Linked DNA regions of Ovis aries. The protein of the gene in region 2 purifies or fractionates together with the protein of the main gene of each other region. This does not show direct contact. Links are inferred from orthologs where the notes say so. Each region holds a gene or a part of one and is shown on either strand. Other genes may lie near its edges.

What was found.
Region 1: the proteins of EFTUD2 (region 2) and CD2BP2 purify together in Homo sapiens (affinity purification with mass spectrometry; 7 studies listed by BioGRID and IntAct, counting the BioPlex papers as one, with this or other methods). This does not show direct contact. The link is inferred for Ovis aries from reciprocal best matches to the Homo sapiens genes EFTUD2 and CD2BP2.
Region 3: the proteins of EFTUD2 (region 2) and HNRNPU fractionate together in Homo sapiens (co-fractionation; 3 studies listed by BioGRID, with this or other methods). This does not show direct contact. The link is inferred for Ovis aries from reciprocal best matches to the Homo sapiens genes EFTUD2 and HNRNPU.

The regions. Positions count from the first base shown.
Region 1 is NC_056077.1:27,060,665-27,070,625, forward strand, and holds CD2BP2 (CD2 antigen cytoplasmic tail-binding protein 2), read right to left. Parts: upstream 5,054-9,961; 5' UTR 4,471-5,053; coding exon of another isoform or gene 3,850-4,470; exon of another isoform or gene 3,826-3,849; intron 3,553-3,825; exon of another isoform or gene 3,468-3,552; intron 2,903-3,467; exon of another isoform or gene 2,834-2,902; intron 2,279-2,833; 5' UTR 2,254-2,278; coding exon 2,179-2,253; intron 1,948-2,178; coding exon 1,809-1,947; intron 1,684-1,808; coding exon 1,526-1,683; intron 1,442-1,525; coding exon 1,006-1,441; intron 924-1,005; coding exon 817-923; intron 730-816; coding exon 619-729; 3' UTR 481-618; downstream 1-480. Other genes in the region: sesquipedalian-1-like, read left to right, coding at 3,850-4,470; TBC1D10B (TBC1 domain family member 10B), read right to left, coding at 5,474-6,109, 6,196-6,350, 6,641-6,830, 7,045-7,110, 7,227-7,341. UniProt on the Homo sapiens protein: Involved in pre-mRNA splicing as component of the U5 snRNP complex that is involved in spliceosome assembly.
Region 2 is NC_056064.1:44,321,617-44,330,854, forward strand, and holds part of EFTUD2 (116 kDa U5 small nuclear ribonucleoprotein component), read right to left. Parts: intron 9,195-9,238; coding exon 9,119-9,194; intron 8,638-9,118; coding exon 8,572-8,637; intron 7,788-8,571; coding exon 7,752-7,787; intron 5,051-7,751; coding exon 4,960-5,050; intron 3,927-4,959; coding exon 3,844-3,926; intron 1,834-3,843; coding exon 1,667-1,833; intron 1-1,666. UniProt on the Homo sapiens protein: Required for pre-mRNA splicing as component of the spliceosome, including pre-catalytic, catalytic and post-catalytic spliceosomal complexes. Component of the U5 snRNP and the U4/U6-U5 tri-snRNP complex, a building block of the spliceosome.
Region 3 is NC_056065.1:31,683,365-31,693,261, reverse strand, and holds the start of HNRNPU (heterogeneous nuclear ribonucleoprotein U), read right to left. Parts: upstream 5,054-9,897; 5' UTR 4,820-5,053; coding exon 4,129-4,819; intron 3,292-4,128; coding exon 3,180-3,291; intron 3,099-3,179; coding exon 3,025-3,098; intron 1,108-3,024; coding exon 968-1,107; intron 406-967; coding exon 306-405; intron 1-305. UniProt on the Homo sapiens protein: DNA- and RNA-binding protein involved in several cellular processes such as nuclear chromatin organization, telomere-length regulation, transcription, mRNA alternative splicing and stability, Xist-mediated transcriptional silencing and mitotic cell progression.

The DNA of each region.
Region 1 (9,961 bases), on a different chromosome or scaffold from region 2:
CTTTACCTCAGAGACCATTTCTATCTGCTTCTAAGAAGTCTGAGACAGCAGAGAGCGAGCCAGTAAGCATCAGCCTTTCTGCTCACTCCCAACAGATGTCTCAGCCCATCCAAGCCTCAAGATTCCACTTCTGGGGCTCTATCCTATATTGGTTACAAGGCAGAACATCTTAGGTCCTTGAAGCCAAAGACCTAAGAACAGCAAAATGGGAACCTTCAGGGGATTCTGGAGAACAGCATGTGAGTGGAGAGATATTTCAGCTGAGAACAAACTCCGGATTGGGAGGCCACAGGACACCTCACAGGCCCGGCCCTGCCCCAAGGAACGGGAAACAAAGGTGAGGTGGTTCGAGGGACCAGAGAGAAACTCCCAAGGAGGAAATTCACAAGAGGAAACGCTAAGGGCAAGAACAAGTCCAAAGGGACCTGGAAGAGGTTCCCAGCTCCACCTTCTGGCCATCAGCACAGCCAAGGCCCCTAATACACAACTAAAGGCTTTTATTGGGAAAAGGAAGTTGACTGAAAAGTGGCCCCCAACATTTTCACTGCCTGAGGCAGCCAGGGCCTCCTCCACAGAGTCCAGCAAAGAAGGGACCACCAAACTGGGCCCTCAGGAGGCTCAGGTGTAGAGGTCAAAGTCAATCCGTTTGGAGTTGTAGAACTGGCCACCCGGGGGGTCCAGCTTCCGGCAATAAACGCCATCTGGGAAGTAGCCTTCGTTCACCCAGGTCTGCAGGAAGAGAGGGCAGAGCTAGGAGAGGACTGATGGGGTGGGGGGAGGGAAAGAAGAGGCACAGCAAAGTAGAGAGAAGCTTACCTGCATCTGGGTGCTGGTGAAGGGCCCGTACAGCTCAGCATCCCCTGTGTTCTCCCACTTATATTCCCACATCACGTCCGCAAGACCATCTCCAGGTGACTCTGCTTCTAAAATAATAGGCCAAGTCATTTGGGCCTCCAGTGGCCTGCCCCCTGCCCACAACCCCCCTCCTCTGCCCTTCAACCTTACCTTCCCTCTGGGCAGGGGTTGGGGTCTCCAGCTCCCTCTCTGTCACTTCCTCAGCAAACATGTCCAGGGAGGGGGGCGGTGTGGGGTCACGGGGTCCCTGGGTCTGGCACGCCAACCCCTTCAGTCGCATGGCCAACCGTTCCCTTGTCTCCTGATACACTCCCAGGTTGCCCTGGGCCACCATCTGGTCAGCCAAGCCGGAGAGCCGGTCGAGGCGCTGGGGGGAACTGGGCCGCCCGGGCCCCTTGCTGCCTTCTTTGCTTCCCCCTCGGGCTCCCAGACGCCTCAGTGCCCCAGCCACTGTCTCTCTTGGCAACATCAGTTCCAGAAGGCCCTCCAGGAGGGCTTGGGTGCTCATTGGTGTCTGGCCCAGGCTGTCCTCCTCCTCTGAGTCTGATGGCGGCCGCTGATCAGGTGGCCGCTCCCTGATCTTTACCTGTAATGGGAAAACAGGAAGGTTTTATTTCTGACAAACTGCCAGCAAGGCCCAAGCCCAGCCATGCTAATCTCCGGGCCTCACCCAATCAATGTTATCCAGCCAGCTGTCTCGGATTTGAGCATCCCGGTTCAGGAAATAGTTGCCGTCTGCATCAAAGTGGCCTTCCTCCATCTCTTCCTGCAAGTTGAAGGGTGTGATCCGCACACCTCCCTCACTGGGGAGCGTGGCTGCTTCCTGACCTGTACCCAGACAGACACAAGAATCCCATGCTAGGCATGCAAGAGACAGGAGCCTCCCGTCCTCCACGGTCCCAGAGGTCCCTATTTGTTCCCCCAGCAAAAAGTCAATTCTTGGTACAGCTCACCTTCCACATCCTCTGAGGCCAAGATGTCATATTTGCTGGACCCTTCCTCCTCCTCCTCCTCCTCCTCATCGCTGTCCAAAGAGTGTTTGCCTTTGAAGCGGCTCCCGGGACCCCCTACCCCAGCTACAGGGTCCACCAACTGTGGGCAGGAGACAGAAGTTAAGAAAGAAGCAAGTTACTGGCTATGACCCCAAATACTCTAGGATCTACACTCAAACTGAAAATCTTGCAAAACCACATCTCAGAAATACGCGGAAAAGCTGACCCTTTCCATCCTTTCTTTGTCCCTCCAGATCTCTCATCTGGCTTCTAATTTATTTTTTTTCTCCCTTCACACCGCCACAGAACAGAGGAGTCTGGCCCCCCTCACCTTTTTCTTGGGGACACTGATTTCATCCTCGTCATCATCTCCCACGCCTTGGAAGGTCACTTTCCTCTTTGGCATGACTGGACAGAAGGGCTTTTCCAAACTGAGCAGAGGGAAAGGGTGCAGATTAAGGGAACTGGGTGAGGAGGCAACTCCCCGCGAGGGGGCCCCCTGCACAACAGATCTTTTACTTGGCGGGTACTAGATCCACTTTGGGAAGGGAGTACAGAATCAGGAGCCGAAAGGCGAGCTGGTAGTCCAGAACCCGCCCCTCCCCCCGCCCCTCCCGGGACTTGGCTTAGCATCTAAAAGAGCCGCTGGTGCGGAGACGCAAGAGCGGACGGGCGGAGGAGCTCCTACGGGCACCCCCACCCTTGACAAGAGGAGACGGGCTCCCCCACGTGACCACCCTTATTCCAGGCCCCAGCAGTGCTGGGCGCGATGTGCTTCGCGGGTAAACACCCGCTCCACCACCCCCAGCTTCCTCGGAACCCGAGGGGCCCCGGCAGACCCAGGACCTAGCGCCCTGGCAGCCCCGCTCCTCCCTGCGCCGAACTCCCAACTCCGCGGGGTGACTCCCAACTGTCTTGGGCTGTGTACAAATTAGAAAGGCGGCAGGGCCACGGGGACACCAGCAGTCCCGCCGGCACGCGCTCACCTAAGGATCCAGGAAAGGTGGGGGAAGAAAGGGAGAGAGGGTTTCACCAGGGCTACATCCGGGCCACCCGCCCGCCACCACCCGGAAGAGAACTGCGGAAGGCGGCGGGGAAAGCCGGAAGTGGCTTCACTCGGGTTAGATGAACAACTGAAGGAGCGGGCGGAAGTACGCGCCGCGCGGGGAGAGACGCCCCCTCCCAGAAGTGACGCGAGCCGTGTGGGGTGACTATGGTGAGAAGAGGGGACATTTGAACGCCTAGACCCTGATCGGACGAGGATGGCCGGAAGTGATCTCGGTTTCCTCCTACAACACTAGAGGCTCTGAGGAGAAAGGGGCGCCCAGGTTCACGATGGAGGAACAAAGTCCCAGCAGGGCCGGTGGGTTCCTGCCCTAGTTTTCTCTTTCCCGGGTTGTCTCCTTTTCCCCACGGCTGGTTCTGCGCCCTTCATCATCTCATTAGAAATCCTGCCTTCCTACTCTTGGCGTCCAGTTGTCCGCCCTTTGCTAGTCCGAGGTGTAGCCTTGCTGTTGTCCCAGAGGTTCTCCTGGGACTTTCCGAACCCAGCTCCTTTTAGGACCCAGGGGAAGTCTAAAATCAGCCGCCTCCTATCCCCTGGCCAAGTTCCTGGTTTCTGAGGTGGGAAGAGTCAAATAGGAGAGGTGGCAGTGGCACCTGTTCCCAGTACCGAGGCCTGAAGTCCCTTGTGCCCTCATCTCAGGTAGGCCTGGGAAAGGGCCGTAGTGGATATCCGCCAACCCCACCCCCAAACAGGACCCCAGCACTACAGTCCTGCCCAGGTTTTGTAATTTGGCCCAAGGGGCAGAGCTGAGGTTGGGAGGTGGGTGGAAGGTCCTTCTTGAAAACTCAAGTTTGAATCCCTCTAGACCAAGACCAAGACAGTGCCCAGAAAGAGCCTGCTGGAACCAGAGGAGGGCAGTGCTGGGGTACTCCGGATCACCAAATGCCCCACTCCTCCTTTCTCCACTCCTAGGGTTTCTTCCCACAGTGGGCTACCATGAAACTGCACCGAAAGTCCGTGCTCCGTTTCTTCCGTGGGTACAGAACACAGGCTCCAGACCGGGAGGGCATCCTGCTAAAGAAGGGGGCCCGAAATACCAGTTATCAGCGCCGCTGGTTCATCCTGCGAGGAAACCTCCTCTTCTACCTGGAACACCAGGCTGACCACACACCCCTGGGTCTCATCCTATTAGAGAACTGCCAGGTGGAGCCACGCCTTGGAGCCACAGAACCTTATGCCTTTACCATTCGGACTCCAGGGGGAGATGGTGGGCGGGCCTACAGGCTGGCAGCAGAAAACCGGGAGGAGCTGAGAGCCTGGCTGTGGGCGTTGGCCGGAGCCACCTGGACGCGGCTGGCTGAGCTGCTACGCCCCCTGGAGGCCCAGTACCGGGAGCTGTGCCAGGCAGCTGGCCAAGAGCCCGGCTCACCCCCAGAGGACTGTGGCTCCCCAGCCACCCCCAGGACCCTCTTCAGCTTCCAGGAGTTGCACGAGCACTTTGGAAAGGAGATCCGGATGCTGCAGGCTGTCCACAGACAGTTCCAGGAGGCCAGTGACAACGGAGGCAGCAGATCCCCAGCAGGTGGAGGTGAAGCAGGAACGCAACAACTGTGTTGATGAGTGACTAATAGACTAAAGACCCAAAGGTATCTGCCAAGTCCAGTCAACAGCTTCCAGAGACACCCAGATCCTTGCTAACTCATCACTCCCTCCCTCCTTGTCCTTACTTTAACCCCACTCATCAAATAACAAGGCAAAAGACAGGCCCAGGTACAACAGCAGGTTCTTTTCCGGTTCCTCAAAGCGGCCGAACAGGGTGGGGGCAGAGACAGAAGAACATGTAAACATTGGGTTCCACCCCCTGGGGCTCAGGGGAAGACCCTTACCCAGGAAGGGGCTGGAGGGTTGGAAGGGACAAAGTGAAAGGCAGGGGCCCTGGTCAGATAAAGCAGGGGAGGCCTGAGAATACAGAGAAAGGTGGGTGAAGAGGAAGGAGAGCAAGGAGGGTGGTGGTGGGAGGTGGGAGACATTTCCTGTTCCAGTGCGTGTCCCCTTAAATAAACTAGAGTGCAAGAACACTGAGGAGGGAGAACCAGAGAACAGAAGATGGAGTGAACACCCCCACCCGGGGCCCACCAGGTCCTCTGTACATAATTACAACACAGAGATGTCCAGAAGGAGAGCAAGAAGAGCCTGGGCCCCCAACCAGGAACTGGGGGAAGACAGGCAGGACTGAAGGGGGTAAAGGAACCCAGCTTCACTTCACGGGTAAGGGGAGTGACTGGAGTGTAAGAATCTGAAAACTGCTGACTCCCACTGCCACAGGTCACCCCTGCGGTGACCAAAGGCCAATCAGGAGAGTGGCACCTGGGAAGGGACCCCAGTTGGGCCGAGCTGGAGGTGAGGTGTCCACTGCTTCCCCAGGGAAATGCAGCTGCCCCCCGTTCTGACTGTCCTGGCCACGTGGGGATCAGCGGCTGGCACGGAGACGGGGAACAAGCCACTTTCCTCAAAAAGAGGGACAGCCTGCCAAGGGCGGGCTGGGAGCAGGACCCCAGGCTAGGTCTGCTCTTGGCTGAGGGAAAAGAGGGGGCCACGTAGTCCAGCCCCAGGGCAGAGGTCAGAAGTACGCATCCTGCCGGGCCTCTGATGCTGAGGACCTGTCCCCGCCGTCCTGGGGGGCAGGCGGTCCATCTGCCTTTCGATGGAGTGAGAGCTTCCTGCCCTGGGCCTTCTTCTCCTGCTTCTGCCGCTCCTTCTCCTGTTTCTGCTGCTCCTTCTCCTGCTTCTGCCGCTCCTTCTCCTGCTTCTCCCGTTCTTTTTCCTGTTTCTGCCGCTCCTTCTCGCGTTCCTTTTCCTGTTTCTGCCGCTCCTTCTCCTGCCTCCGGGCCTCCTTGCCGCTAGGGGCCAGAGGGGCGCTGTTGCCAGTAGGCGAAGGAAGGGATGGACGCAGTCCCTCGGCGGTGACCACGGGCCCTGGGGCAGGCCCCGCGCTGGCCCTGCGGACGGGAGGGGGTGGGGAGGGGACCCCTCCACCTGCCCGGGAGCCCCGGCTCTTGAGGCCAGGGAGGCTGAGGAGGCTGGAGGAGGGGCCCAGGGGGGGCAGCTGCCGCCGGCGCTCCTCGTGGATGGCCCGGGAACCGTGTAGTCTCCGTGAGGGCCGATACTGCAGCTCGCCCCGGGTTTCCAGCCACTTCTTGAGCTGGGCTGCGTTCTCTCGCTCAATCAGTGCTTCTGTCACTTGGAGGTTGGTCACCTAGATGGAGAAGACATGGGTACCAGGGTGAAGTGGGGTGGGGATCTACTGAAGCGGGTGTGAGGTACGCTAAGGCCAGGACCTACCTCGTGCACCAGGAAGTCCTCCTGCATGCACTGCTGAGGCAAGTTCCGCAGCTGCTCCATGGTCTCATACATGCCTTGGCAGGAGCGCAGCTTTTCCACCGAGCCCAGCGTGTGCCGCAGCAGCACCAGGGCCACCCGGAAGATGATCTTGACGCCTGCAGGCCCGAAGAGAAGAGGCCATGGGTGATCAGCCTGGGGGGTCTCAGCCTGGCCCGTGCAGGGGGTACTCACAGCCCCCATCCCTGTGTATTGTTGACCCGACAGATGAGGAAATGGAGGCCTTGAGAAGAAAATGAGCCACCATGGGTTTTAGGTTCCTGGGAGGCAAAGCAAGCTGTGGCTGGTGGCAGAGCCAGTAAGATCAAGTCTCAGTTTCTCCCGAGATGGATCTCAGCCACCATGGAAACCCCAGTCCCACTACTGGCCTACGTGGCTACAGAAGTACCTTCACAGAAGAACATATCCCAGACCCGGAGCACTGAAGCCCAGGGCAGGGTGCGGGCGAAGATGCACATGAACCACTCTGTCATGTAGAGCACGGGATCAATGCGCTGCCGTCGCAGGTGCCGATGTGCCAGTGGGGAGGCCCGGCGCAACAGGGCAAAGAAGATCTCTCCGTCCAGCTGAATGGCCTCCTGGAGATGGGATGAACCATGAGAGGCGCCCTGGCTGTGGGCCCCCTGGGGTGGGACTGGCGCTGGCAGTCGGATCCCATCCGTGAGGCGGGAGCCTCAGCTCAGTGGGAGGGCCCAGAGCAGCCAGCCAGAACGGCACAGGGTGAGGCTCAGCCCGCCCCGAAGTCCTAGGGACAAGCCGTAGCCCCAGGCGCACCAGCCTCCACACACTCACCAGCCCTGCGCTGTAGTAACCAGGGAGATACTTGTCGCAGATCTGCACCAGGCACCAGAAGGCTTGCTGAGAAAGACAAGAACAAGGAGGGAGGGGTGGGGCCAGAGGAACAGGGGGCAGGGAGCTCCCCCGTCACCCCTGCAGGCCCAGCCCCTCCCTGACTAGGTCCGGCGTCTGCTGACCTCAGCAGGCATGTGCATGAGCAACACCGCGGCCACGGGGGCCTGGGCCTGGCAGTAGCCCTCGTCGGGCCGGTAGATGGTGTAGGCCTTCAGGATTCGATACAGGTCCTGCTGCCTGTGGGCACGGGAAAGACCATAAGGGCAATCATAGTACTTGGGACTCCCTGCCCCTGAACAAACCCCGACCCCAACCCCACCCCAGACTCCCCCAGAGCTTGTGCAGGAGCAACCCCGGAGCTTTACCAGCACACACCTGATGTAGCTACCTTCCTACCTCCTGAGCTTAAGCCAAAGTCTCAGATCATCATGGAGGCTTTCTCCCAGGCTCCAGCCTTCCACCCTTGCTGCACACCCACGTGCTCCCTACCCATTCCCCACAGGCTCTGCTCTCCATCTGCCACCATCCCTAAACCCTCAAGGTCACCTTTTCCAGGAAGCTCTCCTCTGCAGCATCGGCCCTCCTCTGGCACTGTCTGCGTGCTTTAACCTCCCAGCAGGTGCTCTCCCAGGGCAGAGCCTGCCTTATCTGACTGGATTTCATCAGTTTCCCCCCAGGCCAGGGCCTTGGTTCTTTCGGAGTCCTGGGAAGCCAGCTGGGCCTCAGATTTTCCTCTTATCTCTGCATCCAGAAGAATACATGCTCTGCCCCAGATCTGTCCCTTTTGCTTGAGGGTGCTCCATAGCTGTATGAGGGAACTCCAACCCCTCAGCCCCCCATTAGAAAGCAGAGGGCCTGCCACCCCTCCCCACGGCTGGTCATCACATCATATCAACACTAAATTCTGAATTTCATTCGTGTCTAGGCCTTCTCTCCAGCTTCCCTGGTGGCGCAGAGGTTAAAGGGTCTGCCTGCAATGTGGGAGACCTGGGTTCGATCCCTGGGTCAGGAAGATCCCCTGGAGAAGGAAATGGCAACCCACTCCAGTATTCTTGCCTGGAGAATCCCATGGACAGAGGAGCTTGGTGGGCTACAGTCCACGGGTTGCAGAGTTGGACATGACTGAGTGAGGCGGCCTCTCTACCTCCACAGTTACTGAGCAGCTCAGCCCTTCATCTCTTAACCAGGGAAATGTTCATAACCTCCCAGATCTTCTCCCTGCCTCCAGTCACACACTCCTGACCACAGCTTACAACAGTGTTTCTCAAAATTCAGTCACTGAAGTGTGACCTTCATTTGTGCTTTATCTGCACACCGCCCCACTGTTATTTCTCTACTTTGTAATAACATCCATGAAATGACAGGTTTGATATACTAGTTATTTCACCTAATATGCATTAAATATGTAACTTCCACAAGCTCTCATGCTACTTTCACCCACCTGCCTGATTCTGTGCCTCTGCCTCCTCCCGCTGCTATGAGTGAACTATTTGTGAATCTGACCAACCACAGCCTTTCCAATGGGTCCCATCCCTTCTTGCCTACACAGGCCATCCTCCAGCAACCTTCCCATCACTTGGGTATCATCCATTTTTCTCTAACTACAGATGCTGGCAGCATACCAACATGTCATTTCCTCTAGCTTATAAAAAATAAAAAAGTCTATCTACCCAAATTTCCCCTCTGAATATCACACCATTTCTTTCCTGCCTGTTCAGGCAAACCCACCCAGAGTACAGATTTGCTATCCTCAGTTTCTTTCCTCCGATCCTCCATTTGGGCTTTAGTCCTTGCTCCACACAAAACCGCTTTTATCAAGGTCACCAATGACCTCCACATTGCTAAATCCAGAGGTCAGTTTACAGATTTGACTTGACTCGATCCATCAGCAGCAGCTGATCCTGAAACTTCACTTTCCTTCCAGGAAACACTCTCCTGGTTTTCCTTCTAGCTTTTTCCAGTTTCCTTTACAGGTCCTTTCCCATCTTCCTATTCATGAAATGTTAGCGCTGTACGCTCAGTCTCTGAACACCCTCCTTTCATAGCTACACTTCCTACTTTGATGACCTCATCTAGTCCCATGGGTGAGATCTGGTCCCATCTAGAGGCTGACATCTCTCAACTTCCAATTTATCTCCAGTTTAAATCTCTCCCAGACTTCTCTGGTGGTCCAGTGGTTAAGACTTCACACTCCTAGTGCAGGGGGCACAGCTTTGATCCCTGGTTGGAGAACTAAGATTCTACATGCCAAATAGCATGACCAAAAAAAAAACCTCTCCCTGGATGTTGTGTATATTGTATATCCAGCTTACCTGGCATCTCACCTGGATGTCCAGTGAGTATTTCAAACTTCACATTCACAAAATGAGTTCCTGATACACCCCTCAAGGTTACTTTTCCCCAACCACCCATATCAGTATATTGTAACTACATTCATGCTAGTTTCTAAGACCAAGAACCTTAAGAGTCTTCCTTATCTACTCTCTCTCTCACACACACCACTCCACATCTAATCCACTGGCAAATCCTTTTGGCTCTACCTTGAAAATATATTCAGAGTTCAATCCCTCCTCCCCACAGTTCCACTGCTACCACCCTGGTCTATCTACCACTGTCTCTGTCTGCGACTATGGCAACAGTCAACCTGGTCTCTGTTGCTGCCCTTGTCTCCAATCATCTGTTTTCACCACAGCAGCCAGAACAATCCTAGGGGTTTTTTTGGGCAGAGTTGCACAGTATGTGGGATCTTAGTTCCCAACCAGGAATCCCAGGGATCAAACCCATGCCCCAGGCAGTGGAGTCTTAGCCACTGGACCACCTGGGAAGTCCCAGAATGATCCTTTTAAAACACAAGTCA
Region 2 (9,238 bases):
AAGGGCAGCACTCGGTATCATAGCCTTTCTCCAGTGGCTGCACGCAGAAAGGGTTTGCATAACACACACAGCTTCGCCAACAGCCAGCTCCAAGAAAGTGACATGATGGAGCTGTTCCCTAACTCCCAGTAACAAGATGATTTTCCAGAGCTGGAAACACACTGCATGATCCTGGAGAAGTTAACTGCACCAGACAAAGAGAAACTTGGAGGACAAACACCTCAGAACACAGGAAATGAAACTACTTTGATAAAACAGGAGTACATTCGAGAAATCTCAATTTCACAAACAGAAATACCAGTATAAGTAAATGAATGAATGAATGAAAAAAAAGCAACTTTGCTCCCCATTCTCATATGGTCTTGTCTGGCTTTGCTTTACAAACTCACGTTAAAACATTTAGTCTTAAAAGTCATACAGAAGCCACAGTACCCCCAAGTTCACTAGCATTTATAAGAAAACCAGAGCACATAGGAATCAACCCAAGCCTTCCTGACACACTGCTTTATGGAATTTCTTAATCTAGAAATACAAGTACAGGCTTCTAAAGAGCACTCCCCTACCACACTCCCAAGTTATGCTCCCCAGAGGCAAGTGTTTTCAACTTCTTTAAAAGCTGCTTCTAGAGCATTTACCTCCATATTTCTAAACAATATATTTATGGTGATATTTCTTGTCTGGCGCTTGAGATGTGACTTCTTGACTTCCTAACTTCCTATTCTAGTAGATCACGATTCAGCCCTACACGACCCCTGCCCTGTCTTCAGAGAAGTAGATCATTTCATCTTTTGGATTCTGGCTGTAACACTGGGCTCCGGTCATTCTTAGCCTCTCCAGTGTCAGGGAGAAGATACCCCTGTTGAGAACCAGCACTGCAAACTGGGGGTGTTCCTAAAGGTGAACTTGTCCCGGGCCACGAGGGGTCTGTCCTGGATCCTCGGGTGGAGAGGAGTTTTCTCAGCTGGACAGGCTCCTCCCAAGCCCTGCAGGCGGCCTCAAGAAGTTATCCGTACATCTTTCCACTATAGGTTAAACTGTCCTTAAGAAATATTTAACCTATTCTTCAAAGCCACCATGATTCCAAGGTCTCCCAACCATCATTCATACTTATTAACCTAAACCCCAAATCCATCTTGTTGAAAAGCAGCTCCGTAAGAAACAAAAGCCAAGAGTTCCTTCTCTTACTGAGTCTGTGCTAATAAGATAACAGCAGCTGACATTATTCACCCATAAGCTATTATCACTGAGCACTGTGCTAAGTATGTTATATCGGCTATCTACTTAATTTCTTGTAACATCTCATTAGGCAAATACTATTATTCTTTTTTTATGGAAGCAGAAACTGAGGCTCTAAGAGGTTAAGGAACCTTTCCAACTTTACATGGTTGGCTGGTGAAGATGAGACTGACTCTAGAGCTCAGGGAAGTGACTGCAGTAATAAACTGAGGATCTGCAGCCAGTTGCCTATCTGGTTAAGGAGCAGAGTTAATGAGGCCAAGGCTAGGGAGTCAGTCCCTGTAGAGTCACAGAATGTTCCTCCAGCTGTGTCCAACAAGCTCATCAATGCATGCCAAGAGCTCAGAGTTGCCCCCAGAGGTGTTCAAGGTTAAGATTTATAAAAACCAGAGTGCCGGGGACAGGAGGTTTACTTCGGGGGCTCCTCTACCTTATTAACCCGTTGACCTCATCGACAATGTGACGCAGCTTATAGTAAGCATCCGTGGGTGGCAGCTTCAGCTCCAGGATCAGCCGGTCAATCTTGTTGATGCACACGGTGACTGCCAGCCTCTCCTGCACCGCGTGCTTGATCAGCCGCTCTGTGTTCAGCATCACCTGAGACACAGAAGCTGGGGATGAGTGCAAAGAGGGCAGAACAGGCCCGCACAGAGTCAAAGAAAGTTCTAGTTTAAAATATGAAAAAAATAAAAATAAAAATAAAATATGAAGGATGTGGAAGAGAGGAAACAGATTATGAGGGGGAAGCAGAGGGTATCTTATTCTACAGCAGAGTCGGAAATTTTAAGAGGTGACCTGGTAGGGTTGAGAAATGAATAAATCCACTGATGATTTTGGGGAGCCAAGTTTCTCAGTGCCAGAGAAGGAACCGAGAAAGGCTTAGGAAGCTGTGGTGCGGAAACAGAATTGTGGGTATCAGGGAAATTCCCTGATGGTTCAGTGGTTGGGACTCGGTGCTTTCACTTAGTGGGCCCAGGTTCAATCACTGGTCCGGGAATTAAGAACTAAGATCCTACAAGCCTCGAGGTTCAAACAAAACAAACAAAAAAGAATTGTGGGTATTAAGATACATTGATTTTTTCTTTTACTACATTAATGTTATTTATTTATTTATTTATTTATTTTTTTTTTTGGTTTATAAAAATAACTTTATTTCAGGGTGTCAAGTTTAAATAACTGTGTATTATGATGGTCAGCTACATATAAGATACATATTCTTTCAAGTTTAAAGTACCTCTCCTAAAAATTAGGCCAATGGTTGATTCCTTATTTTAGTTCAACTGGAATAAAACCTAACAGGAGTATTTTCCGGTAAAATACAAAAACTATTAGTCACTCAGTCATGTCCAACTCTTTGTGACCCCATGAACTGCAGACCTCCAGGCTCCTCTCTGTTCATGGGATTCTCTAGGCAAGAATACTGGAGTGGGTTGCCATTCCCTTCTCCAGGGTAATGTTTTTTAATATGTATGTATAGAAACAGTTATGTATGGGTGTATATTATCTGTGTTCAGTGAGAAATTTTAGAAGTAATGTACCCCAGTAGCCATGAACATACTCTGGAAGACAACTGACAAAATCAACGGCCTATATTCTCCAAAAATGCCAATGTCATAAAAGACCAAGAAAGCTAAAAGAACCATTCCTATTGGGATTTCCCTGGTGGTCCAGTGGCTAAGACTCTGAGCTCCCAGTGCAGGGACCCGGGTTCAATTCCTGGTCAGGGAACTAGATCCCACATGCCACAGTGAAGATTGAAGATCCTGTGTGCCATAACCCAGAAGAAGCCAAATAAATAAACAAATAATAAAATAAAATTAAAAAAAAAAAAAAAAGAACCGTTCCTATTAAAGACACATGAAAATTCAATGTTATGCATCATCCTGGATTAGGAAAAAAAATTCTATAAAGGACATTTATTGGGACTGACTAAGGTCTACAGGAAAATTTCTGTACAACAATTGTATCAATGTTAAGTTCCCTGATTTTGTTAAGCCTATTATGGTTACATAAGTGATGTCCTTGTTCTTAGGAAATATATTCTGAAATATTTCCTTTTCATATGGTACGAAGGGGAAACACATACACATGTGAGTGCGTACGTACATGTACAGAGAGAGAATTACAAATGAGGGCGAGTTGCTCTGTGTTACTGCAACTTTTCAGCAAGTTTGAAATTATTCCAAAACAAAGTCAATTTTAAAAAAGGGCAACTCTGGCTCCCTCTGCTGGCTATCTCACTGATGACAACGTGAATGAGGTTAAGTCAAATGACCACATCTTTCTATTTAGAAATATAAAAGACACCCTAGATCTTTTAACTTCAAACTCTTTAGCTTAGACAAACTCTTAACATTTCAAACTCTCCTCCCTCTCTTATTTACCTTTGCATTTCTGTGATCATTTTGTGCCTCACTGGGTAGGGAGTGAGGGTCTCATGAGAACTAATTTTGACTTTCATTTGCTGCCTTCATTTTTACAGCAAACGTGAACCTTAATCCCACAGACTCTCACGTTCTCTAGCTCCCAGCTCACTCAGAGCTCTGGGCATCATGCGGGGCAAACGTAACAGGGAGGAGGGGTCTAAGAGAACAGAAGCGGACTCACGCCCTCAGCAGCATCAATGAAAAGGACCACTCCATCTGAGATGCGCAAGCCCGCTGTGACCTCATCAGAAAAATTCACGTGTCCTGGAAAACAAATACCAAGTATGTCACAATTTGTGTGGTGGCAGGATGAGGCACAAATAACTTGTACATGGTTGGCGGCGGGGTGGGGTTTCAAAGCACACAAACCCACGAATATTCTCTTTCCCTTCTCCCCACAGCTCCCTGCAGGGTATAAAATTCCACATGAGAGTCACTAAAAGCTTGGATTAAGTTTTTATCCAGGAGACCCTCAAACACAAAAGAAGCGTTTCACCAAGGAGGGCATAAGGCATTCATACTCAGACTATACCAGTCTCAGCAGTGAGTAGAGTTCTGTGAGACAGAAGACAACTTGGAGGCAGGAAAAAGGGCAAAGGAGGGCCTGCAGCACAGCAGCGGGCTGCTGGGTGCAGGCTGGGAGTCAGAGGCTGAGGGGTATGAGGGCAACGGGCATCTGATGGGGCAAAGAAGGCCAATCTGTCAAAACCCAAATTTTCCTATTTAAAAAAGGAAAAGCCTTGGACTTCCCTGGTGGTCCAGTGGTTAAGACTCTACCTTCTAATGCAGGGAGTGTGGGTTCAATCCCTGGTAGGGGAACTAAGGTCCTACATGCTGTGGACAAAAATTAAAAAACAAAAACCAAACAGGAAAACCCTGAGCTGGGCCTTTCCAAAGAGAAAGTCAACCACAGGGCAACGTATGGTAACCTGCAAGTCGCCCAGCCATTGGTGTGTGCTCCCCCAGTCTCTTTCAAAAGATTGAAAGACTGAGACGGCCTGAGCCCAGGACCATGTGTGACTCAGCTTTGCTGCCCCAATGAATACAGGACTATAAGATTCCCCCAAATTTAAATCTTGTAAAGCAGAGTCAACAGAGGAACAAAACAGAAGGTCTAGAGCAGAGTGCTTGCTAATTAACTCATTAGATGCAAAAGAGACAGTTAAAAAAAGAAGATTATCTCAACAAAGGCGAGGAAATGTGAAAACAAAGATGCAACGCTCTGTTCTGGGAAGTGTGGGACCAGGAGAAACAAGCTGGGCAAGGTTCTGAAGGTAAAAGGTCAGGGATATCCTACCTGGAGTGTCCATGATGTTGAAGAGGTAGGATTTCCCCTTGGTATCTGGCAAGACCACTGTCACAGGAGTGCTTTTGATGCCAACACCCCTCTGAAAGGCACAGAGAAAGAGGGCAAGAGTGATCAAGGCCTCTTCCTATGCCAGAGGGCTTCATGATGCTCCTGGGTCTTTCCAGTTGCTAGTAAATTATCCTGATGTCTTTCCTTGCAATGGGTGTGATGACCTTAAAGATGAACTATCTGGGTGTTACACAGCTTTGGGGGAGGGGCAGCGGGCGGGGAGGAGTTGGTTCAAATACAAAAAGCTAAAAATAAATGAACAAGCTAGCAAAGCAGTAAATAAGTGTTAGTCTGCCGGGAGCCAGCCTGAGGAATCCCACCCGTGACAAGGTCATGTGGCAGAGACCTCATGTGCAAGGTCGAGTCAGATCTCAGGTTTTCCCCCTGGTATTTCCTGAGCATGTACCCCAAAAAATAAGAATATGCCTGCCTTATTGTACTATACTTTTCCACTCTCCTGACACACTCTGGGAAAAGTCACCTCAAGGCTTTTAGTCTTCTGCATTTGAAAGGGTGTTTCAATTCAAAAACCCCCTCTGATGGCTTTTTAGCCTGCCTGCAGGACTCGTACATCTGCACATGAGATTGTTTGAGGCCTCCTGACTGCGGGAGGCACAGGAAGCTTAAAACATCCTAGGAATATAGGGGCTTCCGAGGAGTCAAAATCATTAGAATAGGACTGATGAAAGGTTTCATTTATTGAGCCAATACTTGCTGCCAAATTTTTATATCTTTTATTTTTAGATATAGTTGGTATATAGAAAAACAGGTAGTAGACCTGGTATTAGCAACATTAGGTCTTTGAGTTAAGTACTTTCTTTGTTATAACCCACTGCACCTTTGTTCTACAGGAACATAACTTTATTTAGTACTTTGAGGGTGATGCAAAGTAAAGAAAAAACACTTCTAGGGAAAAGGAGTTTTCTGGTTGATAGACAATTATCCAGGAAGAGAGCCATAAAAATGTTAACAAGCCTCTTGGCCAGAAGATAATGTAAACCACCTGAGACCTTTTGTATGGGGGGGGGTGTATGCAAAAAGAAAGCCTTGTCTCAATGAGGGTCAGGACTGCTGCCCCTGCATAACTCTGTATATTCCATTATGTACAACTTGGGGTATATAAGCTGATTTTGAAAAATAGTTTTTGGAGTCTTGCACTGATGCTGGGCATGTCATTCTTTTCTCCCTTTTTCGGCTGAATTTCCATCTGGGGCGTGGAGGCTCACCATGTTTACTTACTTGTCCCGGCTTCTAAGATCCATGAGAGAGAGAGCCCAAGGCGGGGCACTCTCTGATATCCAAACAGACGCCGGTGGCCTAACATAGACAGTGCAAGTTCCTTGTCTGGAACTTGATTGGCTTTCCAAGTAAACCAACTTATTCAGCCTCTTTTCTCCACCTAAATTCCCTACTATACTATTTCTTCCTAATCTAACCTTATATCTCTAAATAAATAAGTTTTTCTCGCCTATCCGTCTCCCCTTCGAATTTCCCTGGATCCACCGGGGCTGGACCCCGGCATTAGTCGCTCAGTTGTTTCTGACTGCCACTCCATAGACTATAGCCCGCCAGGCTCCTCTGTCCATGGGATTCTCCAGGCCAAGAATACTGGAGTGAGCAGCCATTCCCTTCTCCAGGGGATCTTCTGACCCAGGGTCTTCTGCATTGTAGGCAGATTCTTTATTGTCTGAGCCACCAGGGAAGTCCAGCAAAACAGTATTAAACTTTAGGAGAGAATCTAGAGGCCTAAAATCTTACCCTCCTCATACAGTGTAAACAAAAATAATTAAGCACCATATAAGTGAAAAGAAACAATCTGGGGTATTTTAGGTTTTTAAATATATACATATATGAGAAAAGGAAATAGTAACCCACTCCAGTATTCTTGCCTGGAAAATCCCATGGACAGAAGGGGCTGGTGGGCTACAGTCCGTAGGGTCGCAAAGAGTTGGACACAACTGAGTGACTAAACCAAACCATCTATGTATATAATATATATATAATAAAAGCTGTAACAGAAAGTACTAAAACAACTTCAGTCACACAAATATATAAATATATTCATATACATAAAAACAACAGCTAATATCTGTTGAGTGTTTAACATATGCCAGGACTGTTTAAAGCTCCTTTGGCTAATCATACTTATACTCACTGTGCTTTCCATGTGGTCATTTAACAGAGATAGAAATAAGAGACAGGGAAACAAAAGGGGTTGGAGTGGATGGACAAAGATCCAGGTGCAAAGAAAGCCCAACCAGGTGGAATGGCAAAGACCAAGATGTATATTCACTCCTTTAATCAGAAAAAAAAGCACAAAGACAGACGAACTCATTCACCAAGAGAAGCTACTCCCAGAGATCAACATATGGACGGAGTCATCTTACAGCAGATTTTTAAGGATGATGTCATTTGAAACATCCTGTTTAGCTTCTGTAAAACTTACAGCATAAATGTTCTCAACACCTCCTGGCACTTGCCCTATTAAGCTAAATTATATCCAGCCAAGCATACGAAGCTCCCCCTTGTACCGGACAGTTTGCCTACCCAGCTCTCTTTCAAGTTACTGACCTTGGGATGACTAGGAGAAGCAGGGAGATAAAGAGGTGAGGGATGGGAGTGAGAGAGGGGGCAGTGGTATGGACCAAACCGTTATCATAAAGGCTCCTCTACACTCGCTACAGAACTACTACTGCTGTGAACAACAATCAGATTTCCAAAGGCACACTTACCTCTTGTTCTGTGAAGAGGATGTCAGTGTAGCACAGCTAAAAATAAAAATAATAAAGAACTGTGGTTACCATCTGAATTCAGACTCCTCTCCCACACAAACCATCAATCACTTTCCCTCACCACCTCCCTGGCTCCAGAGTCTCTCCCTCAGGAGAAGAGATGGAAGACAACAGGGTGTCCCTACAGACATTTTAGACAATGAGACTGGCGCCCTGCCAGATAGAAAATGCTCCTTCCTGGATGTGTGTTTTCTTGGGGAGTGGGGAAAGTCACTAAAGACCAGGTATGGCTGGAGAGCTAAATTATATCAAATGCACTGAATTCTTCGCAGTGGTACATGGAGACATAGCTGGCCTTCGTGGACCCTGCACGTCAAAACAGTCAATCTGGTGGAGACTGAACATTTATTGCACTGAGACTTGCAGCCACACTTGGCCTTATTCACAGGCATTTGAATTTATCATGAAAGCAACAAGGTCCAATTGTATTATATTTATAGAGTAGGCTATTAATACTATGACAGGAAAGAATAGGCCACAAAAGTCAGGATATATCAGAACAGAGGAGCGATCCCAAGTGAAGAACAGATCACCCCAAAATACTGCAGGTTAACATTCTCTCTGTTCCTGAGAAAGCTGAAATCATTTTAAAGGCTATTCATAGAAATTACAATTATAAAGCAGCACATTATAAGGCACACAATCCTAAGGCATCATTATTTATAATGAGTGGCAAGGGAAGGAAGGGGAAGGAGAGAGACACCCACCCCTGTATATTCTGAATGGTTCATCCTAAACCCTGAACAGGATTTCTACTTACATCTTGGTCATAGCGCTTTCTGATTTCCGGGTGAGTCTGCTCTATTAAACAATCTACAAAACATGTCTGAAAGAGAAGAGAAAGTTATGCTCTACCACCCACCAGGGAAAATCTATTCTACCCTTCCCCAGTACACCGTATAGTTTAGGAATAAAGAGAGGAAGAGGAGAGCAGGGAGGATTATGGCACAGCAAAGGATCAACAATAAAGCCACAGGATTATTTTCAAATGAAAGATGAAATCTTTCTTAGACAAGCTTCCCCCAGGAAATAAAAACTTATAAAATCAAAATCAAAGTAAGGCTCAACTTCCCCTCTTCTGTCCAGATGTAGACACGAGGCTCAGGCATGCCAGTGGCTTAGCTTTCCATCTGCTGCTCAGAAAAAGCTGGAATTTCACAGCTCAGTTTCACAATAGGCATGGAGGCCCCCAGAGTCAGGAGGTCCAGCCTTCAGGCCTCAGACCCCAACATGTGACTCCGAGGGCTAAAAAAAAATGAGCAGAAATGAACAGCAACCCTGTTCCAAGTAGTCAAAAGCTCACTTGCCTTGCCATGGTGCAGATGGCCACAGAGAGTCACATTTCTGATGAGCTCCGAGTTATCCATCAGATCTGCCAAGAAACTGTAAGGACAAAGGGAAAGAGAAAAGGGAGCTTTGGCAAGTTC
Region 3 (9,897 bases), on a different chromosome or scaffold from region 2:
AGAATAAACCGACCCATTATTTTTTCAAGATGTAGGGTTTAAGAGTATACTATACTGACTTTATACTAGATATAAAAAGCTAGGTGGTTATTTAACTAGTTGACAAACTGCATGACATGACAACATTCTATTTGAACCATCAGCCACAAACCAATTAACTATAAAGAAAGAAAAGCCAAAATTTAGCCTATGCTCATGTTACTATCATCTCTAAAAAACAGGCAAAAAGTTTAGAATGCCTGCTAACTACTGAAATCAAACACTAAACACTCATGAGTACCAAGATACTCAAATGGAAACTTTACCGAGCAACATTCCACTTGTGGTTAGTGACCACCCAATCCGAACTTCATGTATGTCAATATCTTTCGTATATAAATGCCTCACTGGGATCTTCTCTGTAACCTGAAAGTCAAAGATAAACAAACTGTGAACCAAGGAAAATAAACCACTTAATCAACCCTAGTTTATTTCATTTGGGCAATGGGCTAATTCTTCTTCAGCTACTAAGTACAGAGACACACCAACTTTACGCTCCCCCAAACATTTTTAAGAAATTCAAAAATTAAGGGCTTATAACTTGAAGCTGAAAATTTACTTGGTTGAGTCACATTTAAAAGAAAATGTTGAAATTATATATTCTCAATGCTTCAAAACCAACTAAACTTTATTCTTTAACATGTTTTCCTCAGAACAAAAACTGGAGCCTAACCAAATTTTTTCAAACCTTTGGTGGGCCTTTCAACTGCCTGATAAAAAAATGAACACCCTAAATAAAAATTATGCTGGCTCTATCTACATGGCAACTTCTAATATAACAAACATCTTCAACTACTATAAAACACAGGGTTAGTCCCTCTTGTAACCCACAGAAACTTGAAAAAAATAGAAGTTCCACTGATATCTGATAACAGGCAAAAACCTCACGAAGCTTAAGAAAAAAAGAACATCACAAAACTACTTTTACCTTCATCTCAAAACAGACTTTGCCTTTTGACACACCATAAGATGCCCTTCCTCCAGCCCAAAGAAAAGCAAAACTCTCCATGGTAAGGGAAGAAGCACTGAGGCGATCTCTTGATATTTTAAAATGTAGATCACAATTATCTGCAATTATATCAAATGCCATATTATTTCTTTTGATATCCACTATAAACATCTGCCATGTAGACAAAGCTGTTATTAAATTTTCACATATTTCTGAATGCTGCATACTACATTTTTACAGATGCTGTTCTAATTTTCAGTTTAAACCCCACTCCCACCAAGTCATTCTTGCCAAATCATGAACTGAAGCGTACACTACCTATGCAGCTAACAAATATAAAGGTTTAGCATATGCGTACTTTAAGTATATAAAATAATCAAGACAATGTGACATTTATACATACCTGCTCTGCTCTTTACCTTGATTTAGAGGCAAGCAGTAGAGGATAGCAGGAAATCAAAGTGAAGCATGCCAGACCAGGTAGAATTTACCAGTGCCACAATAAAACTGAAGGGAGGCCATGACCAAGTATTTTAAAGTAAAGAGTATGAGCTGTTGATCCTCACTTTACAGGGGTTCTAGATCTTAAACTCTTTGCTAAAACTTGTTAAGAAGGCAATCTCAGTCTATACAATACAAACCTGGTCATCAATGCTGTTACTACTACAGCATTTTAGGTCCCCTTTCCCCAGATATGCCTGTTAATAAGTATGGGGGATTACACACTTTGGAGTAATCCAAATCCAAAACGACTTTAACCTAGCTACCTTTGGGTCACTGGCTCATTAGCATGCACCTTCTGAGTTCTCAGTGGAAGCAACACTAAATTAAGAAAGCTAGTTTCCTAAGTTTTACTGGAGAGATGAAATTAAACCTACAGTCTGGAATTCCTTACATAAGCTTTGCTCTTTACATTTCTGATACAATGTTCAACAAATTATACTTGAACCCAATAATGCACTTAAACTGGTATCCCTTGATGAGCTAAAAAGCCTTTTATAACAGCATTATCTTCCTAAACCACTGCTTCATAGCTCGCCAACTATAAGCAACTAAACATAAAACATTCAACTACTCTTCCATATACAGTTCAAAATAAAAGATTCCACTACATTGACTATATGTAAACAGTATGTAGTAAAGAGACTTACATTTACACTACCATACACATCTAAATAAAATAGGTATTCCAAAACAGGAGAATCTAAGATTCAACTCCTTAGATCTACAGGACAGGATGACACCTTACCTCTAGGCAATTATTTCTACCCTTTTTTCTGTTTATCACAAAATTGTACTTTCTGATCAAAATACTAAATCAATGATTTTGTATGTGAGAAAAATGAGGAATCTGACTGCCAAGGCCCATTTAGAGGTTTGCAATACTTCCTCATACTCAATTGCAACCCAACTGGGTAAAGTAGCAGTATTTACAGCGCTGCCATTGATACCATTCGCTGCTGAAGAAAGCTAGTGGCCCAGTGATAGCCCACTGCTGCTGCCCCAGGTCTTTGGAAGAAACCAACTTAGGTTAAAGCAGCAGCTACTGAACTGGAATTGAGAACAAAAGAGCAGTTATTGAGAAAGTAATATTACAATCTTTCAGAATAGGGAATATAGTGATGTGCTAATGGGAAAGTCATTAATAAATACTTAACTAGCCCAAGTAGCTCACTTAACATAATTCCACAAAAAAAAAAAAAAAAACCACATTACTTTTACTGTAGACCCTACAGGGAGAAATTATAGGTAGTCTTACAAGTTTCCATTAGCTACACAGTCAAATATTGGCATTCATTTCACATTCCTACAAATGAGAATTTTAATATCATACCAAAAAATTATCAAATTGCTGGAGCCTCTAAAACTATCAATATAACTGCTGGACTAAATTAAGTGACCAGAATCTGAATAAAAGCCACCATCTTTCCAATTTTAAAAGAACCCTTTATACGCATTAAGTTTTCTAACATTTTGTAACCAAAAACCATATTTGATAACTAAGGGAGGAACGGGGAAGAAACAGCTTCACTTACAAGTATCAAGACAAACCACTGTGTCGTCGAAGTGTTCATCTTCTTCTTCAACAGGTGGCTGAGGAGATTTGGCTCTGAAAAGACAGAATTGTCTCCTGATACAACCTTCCCCAAAGAATAATGAACAGGTGCCAAAACTAGGTTAGCATCTCTACCTGCTATACTTGTTCTCTTCAATGTACTCAAAATAGCCACGGCCATGATCTTCTCGAGGTCTTTTAACACCTCTCTTTTTATCTCCGCCTTTCTGTTCTGTTTTGCCGTCTCCTACAACACATGACACCGCTGTATAAGACACCACGGCACGCCGCCACAACAAGCAGAAAACCCCTTTCTTGTCGGAGGTTCCCTAAAACTCGACTTGTACATTGTGATTTCAATCAACGACTCAACTGCGAATTCAAACAACAATCTCCTTGGAATCGGCTTGGATTCAGTGACGCAGTCTAAGGACATTGCTAATTTTGCCAGTTCACTCGAATATTCCAGAAAGCACATGAAAATTTAGCGCGGCCCAGGCCCGGAGCCCACGTGTACCCCAGAGAGTGTTCAGGAAAGGGGGAGGGGCCGAAGCGCCCCGCTCGCCCTCCCCTCCCCCCAGCCGGGCCCGCGCTCCCCGCGGCCGCATTGTACTGCTCGCCGCGGGCGCCGCCCGACCCCGCCCCGCCCGCCGGAAGTGACGTCACCCGAGCCCGGCGCGCCTTGCACAATACCGCGGCCCGGAGCCGCCACGGCGCGCCGCCGGGGCCCCGGGCCTCCCCTCCCCCCGAGACATGTGCCCGCACCGCGCGCACGCAGCGCGACGGCGCCTCCGCGGCTCCTCCCCCTCCAGCGGCAGCTGCAGCCTCCCCCCTCCCCACCCCGGCTCTCCAGGCACATAATGGAGGCGCCGCCACCGCCGTCACACACCGAGCCGAGGCCTCACGCCTAACCCGGGATTCCCCGCGCCCCGCCCGCCCCCCTCCAGCAGTCCCCAGCCCCCGAGGGTGCTCCCTCCCGCGGCGGGTTTCCTCCCTCCCCCCCTGCGGGGCTCCGGCAGGCCTGGGCACGGTCCCCACCCCGCGCGGGCCTCCCGCCGCGCGCAACCAACCACGCAGCACTCACCCGCCGCCGGAGCCCCGGGGCGACCGCCGCCTCCGCCGCCTTCCGCCTTCTTCTTACCTCCCGCCTGCTGCTGGCCCTGCCTCGCCCCGGGCGGCGCCACCGTCACCGCGAACAGCGACGTGGGGCCGCTGCTCTTCCCCGCGGCCTCCTTGGCGGCCCCGCGCTGCTGCTGGGGTTGTTGCTGCGGCGCCGCCGGCGGTTGAGGCTGCTGCTCCCCGTGCCCGTTCTCGTCGCCCGCGCCTTCCTCCTCTTCGCCGAGCTCATCCTCCCCTTCCTGGAAGCCCTGGTCGTCGCCGTTCTCGTCCTCCGAGGCGGCCTCTTCCTCCTCCATCGGGCCCGAGTCGGCCGCCCCCGCGGCGCCGTTCTCCTCGCCGAGCTCCATCTGGTCGCCATCCAAGGCGGCGATCCCTTCCTCCTCCTCCTCCTCTTCCTCCTCGTCGTCGTCGCCGCCGGCCGCGGCCTCCTGCTCGAGGCCTGCTCCCGAGCGCCCGGCGGAATCCCCGCCCAGGTCTAGGCTGCCGTTCCCGGGCTCCATGGCGGGGCGGCCCCCGGCCTCCTCGTCGTCCAGCGCGGCCTGGAGACGCTCCATGAGCTCGGCCTTGAGGCCCTTGTCGGACAGGCGCCGCTTCTTGAGCTCCTCCTTCAGCTCCGACACCTTCAGCTTTTTCACATTAACAGGCGAGGAACTCATGGTGAGGCCCCGATTCACCGCTAGGCGCTGGCTCAAACTCGGCTCCGCTCACTCGGCCACTGGCGGCGGCTGCGGCTGCTCCTCGGCCCGGGCGGCGGCTGCGGCTGCGGCTGGAGGTGGGTTCGTGCTGCAGAGCGGATCCGCCTGGTGTCGAACGGCGCCAATTCCTTTCACCGAGTTCGCGAGGGAGACGCGGAGACTCGCCTGGCGCGAGCGAGCACGCAACGTCCTCTCGCAGGGGCGGCACCGCGCACGTAATATAGCCGCCCCGCCTCTGCGCCGGCAGAGCGCCCGCGCTCGCCCCACCCCGCCCCGCCCGAGCGGCGGGCCGGGAGCGCGGCGCCGCGCACTGCGCTTCCAATTGGGGCCCAGCTAATGGAGGAGGTGGAAACCGCCTTCAGTTAAACCGACCCGCTGCAGCCTCTATTGGCCTTTCCAGCCCTTTGGTGGCAATATTCGTTTATGTTCTTTGCCTTCCGGCCAGGAGGCTGCTTCTACCCAAATGCTTTCATCTTCAACTTGGTAATTTCAGCTGGAATCCGCCACCTCTTCTTCCATTTTAGATTTATCTTATCTGTTTCTCCAGCTATTTGCTTAGAACCCTTAAAATTTTGATTTGATTTGTACAAGCTGACAGTCATTATACGCAGGAGATTTTCTTCTGCTTAATAATTGGTTTAATTTTCCTGAATCCTAACTTGGGAGTTGAATTTTAGACTCAGGAAGGGCCTTTCTTTTGTCTCTCCCATGACCTCTGATGCAGGGTTTGGGAGATCATGCTTATTTTTGAAGAGTGGCCTCCACTCCATACTGCAAAGCGGACTTTACAGGCCTTGTTATGGTACTAATGGCCAAAGAAGTTAGCCTCAGAATTGCATTTCTGTGTTTTCTTTACATCTACCAAGAAGACAGACCTCCTGTAAGGTTTATTCTGTCCAATTTAGGACCTGGTCATGCAGTTATGAAGTCCCCTTAACTAACAATGAGGATAAGACCCCAGCTAGGTCACACACTTTGATTCTATTCCTGTGGATATACTTTTGACAAAATTATGCCAAAGCTCTAATAAAAGCTAATGAAAAAAAAAAAGGCTGTGATTTTGTGAAAAGAAAAATATCACTCTCAAAGAAAAATGTGATTTTGGTGTGTCTTAGAAGTTTAATTTTTCCTTTTACTAAATTAAGAGGTGTGTTAATGTTCTTCCAGTTTTCCAGAATTTAGATATGTGATAGACATGAATGTCTCAAACCCCAGAGAATCTGCACAGTGGCTAGCCAGTGGTCTAGTCTAGTCTAAGCTCAACTATATTGCTTCGTGCTTTAGCTGGCACAAGGCTGTCCCAATTTTAATTCAAAATTTAGAAAAATACACACTTAACTTTCTCCCATAGTACAGTTTAATAAATTTTATTTTTTAAGTTCTCTTCAATGGCTTTTAAGAATCTTGTATTTTACAGTGCTGTCATAGATGAAGATGAAATATTAACATTTGTGAAATGATTTGAGTTGAAATTAATGGATTATGTATAGTACTAGTAATTCTCAGTTCAAGCTGATGGAGGCAGAGGGATAGCACCCAAAATAGGAACTTCCAAACCCTGCCAAAAACTCATTTTAGCCTTTGGTTATAATATCCTTAGAGCTTACAAACAAGTAGCAAACTGAAATTTGAACTTTTCAAGTTCGTTGCCCTTGTTCAAAATGGGAAAAGAATTGCAGGGGGTCTTCCATGTTCACAAAATAAGTAATTAGTCCCCTAATGAATCAGAATTAAATATAGTAATTATGGTGATCATTTAAGTTTATGTGTCCTTAGATATGACTTCATATTTAAATGTTAGAGACATGAAAGCAATTTCTGTTTACCGGGGAAAACTAAATTGTGAAAATAAAGTTTATATACCTAAATATCAATTTATAACAATTATTCTTGGTATGTTAAATCAATTGTAAAAATAAACATGAAATATAACTTTAGATACTCCTTGGAAGAAGAGTTATGACCAACTTAGACAGCTTATTAAAAAGCAGAGACATTACTTTGCCAACAAAGGTCCGTCTAGTCAAGGCTATGGTTTTTCCAGTAGTCATGTATGGATGTGAGAGTTGGATTATAAAGAAAGCTGACCACAGAAGAATTGATGCGTTTGAACTGTGATGTTGGAGAAGACTCTTGAGAGTCCCATGGACTGCCAGGAGATCCAACCAGTCCATCCTAAAGGAGATCAGTCCTGAATATTCATTGGAAGGAGTAATGTTGAAGCTGAAACTCCAATACTTTGGCCACCTGATGTGAAGAGCTGACTCATTTGAAAAGACCCTGATGCTGGGAAGGATTGAAGGCAGGAGGAGAAGGGGATGATAGAGGATGAGATGGCTGGATGGCATCACTGACTCAATCAACTTGAGTTTGGGTAAACTCTGGGAATTGGTGATGGACAGGGAGGCCTGGCGTGTGCAGTCCATGGGGTCACACACAGTCGGACACGACTGAATGACTAAACTGAACTGAATAACTTTAGATGGGCATGAGAAAATGTCATGGCTTTGTTATGGCTTTGTCAAGAGCTTTGTATCACAAAGATCATCCTCAGTCTGCTCATTACATGGCCCAAGAACCCAGGTCCTCCTCCCACCCCAGGCTTCTTTCATTACCCTGGGCTTTCCGAGACAACGTTCAACAGAAAAACCTTTTATAAATGCTCAAAAAGAACCAGTCAGCCAATGCAGCAGACAGGGGTTCAGTCCCTGGGTTGGGAAGATCCCCTGGAGAAGGAAATGGCAACCCACTCCAGTGTTCTTGCCTGGGAAATCCCATAGACAGAGGGGCTTGGGAGCTACAGTAGACGGGGTCGCAAAGAATCAGACACGAGTTATCAACTAGACAACAACAACAAATGCTCAAAGAGCCATCATCTTGCTGTTTGTCCTTTTTACAAGCAATATTTTATTTTACCACTTGAAAATACAAATAGTGACTTCACTTTCCTAATAGTTTTTCTTCTTATATTTTTAATGCTGTCATGATAGTTCTGTTCTACAGAGACCAGTTAAAGTACAGATCACTTTCTCTCAATTGCTGAGGGATCTATCAAAAATTTGATATTCCCCCTTTTTGAAATCCTGGAGCCCACCAAGAATACAGAGTGGAAGAGGGGGAAAATTAATTTCAACAATAAACAAACAAAATAATTAGTGAATTGCCCATAGGTAATAGATCTACGACAGGGCATTACAGAGTTAGGGTGCTCAGAATATGTAGCTTACATTTTGAAGTTGAAACAGAGGCACATACCTGGATATACTTTGTCATTAAGTTCACTCAGCAAATATTTTTTAGCACCTTCTCTTAAGCACTAGGAATACAGCAGTGAACTATGTAATTATGCCTTCATTCTCTTAGGGATGATTAGCCAATAAGTTAAAATAGAGAAAGTAACAAGTATGGCAGGGAAATGTAAAACAGGACAGGGGCAAGGTATGCTGGGGTTGGGGGAGTTTTTCAGTTATAAATGGGGTAGTCTGGGGAGCCTAAGAAGTAAGGTAACATTTGAGTAAATATCTCAAAGAGGTGGAGGGAACAGTAAGTAGTCCTGAGGGGGAAGATAGGCAGGGAGTTGAGGGGAGGTGCAGATTGCCAGCAGCCTTGTCAGTGGTTTTGTAAGGACTTTGGCTTCTGCCTCCAGTGAGAAGGAAGATACTGAAGGGTTGTTACTAGTGAAGAGATAAGAACTGGCAGGAATGCTAGATTCAGTGGACTCAAGATGCTATTTCATGTACGTCTTTTTTTTTTTTTTTTTGTATAGAAAATCAATGCCAATTTAATAAAAGAAGCAAGAAACACACTGTGATACATTTTTCAATCTTCTTACAAAAATGTGAGAAGTTACAAGTACCTACAAATTACTAAGAATTAGTACACTTTCATATAGACTAACAGAAATGCACAGTAGGAAGGGAGGATGTTTCAAATTCTGGGTAAAAATACAAACATAAATATCAGACAGACATGGGCTGCGGTCCCAGTTAGATAGCATATTGGCTGAAAAAACTCTGATGCTGGGAGGGATTAGGGGCAGGAGGAGAAGGGAACGACTGAGGATGAGATGGCTGGATGGCATCATGGACTCCGATGGATGTGAGTCTGAGTGAACTCCGGGAGATGGTGATGGACAGGGAGGCCTGGCGTGCTGCGATTCATGGGGTCGCAAAGAGTCGGACATGACTGAGCGACTGAACTGAACTGAACTGATCTTGCACAAGCTATGTATCTCTCTGTGCCTGAGAGTATTTACATCTAAAATGATACCTGCCTCGTGAGGTTGTTGGGAAAATGCACTGAGATAGTCTAAACTCTGAGGACAGGACTGGAAGCACAGGAAGAGCTCAGCATAGGTTAGTCTTCATTAGCTACTTTGAGCAATTTAATGAGCTTAAGAAAATCTGGAGTTGAATTGCTAAATCTTATTTAGGAAATTATACATATTGTGTAAATTGTCAATGAATTGTTCATAGTGAAATGAAGTCTGGATAGGAGGGTGCAGGCTTCACTTCTGGGCATGGTACTGTCACTGTAACCAGCTGGGGGACCTTTGGCAAATTGCACCATCTCTCTGGATGTTTGTTTCCTCATCTATAAATGAAGCAGAGCAGACTGGAAGATTCGTAGAGTCCCTCTAGGGAGAAACTTCTGTGAGTCTCCTGTTTGCTGACTCCACACTGTCCATGGAGGAGCACTATTAAACTTTGAAATATTGATTATTCATATTCAAGTTTTACTTGTTACATTCAAAACTTTGCATTAGAGTCTTGAAGCATTTCATAATTAATTAGCAGACATGAAATTTAAACTAGTGTATCACACCCTTTAAATTTTAAATGATGCAAAATATTCCCATTTATATGGAAAAACTCAAACGAGCTTTTTGGCCAACCCAATAATTTAAACTTGGATACCACAATAGGCTAAGAGGTTTAAAGTAAAGGGTTTCTCCAAAAGCAAACCAGATTCCCACCGCCATGGCTTTCTGTGCCTCCCATTGCTGCTGCAGTGTCCCCCACTGACACCGTCACCACCAT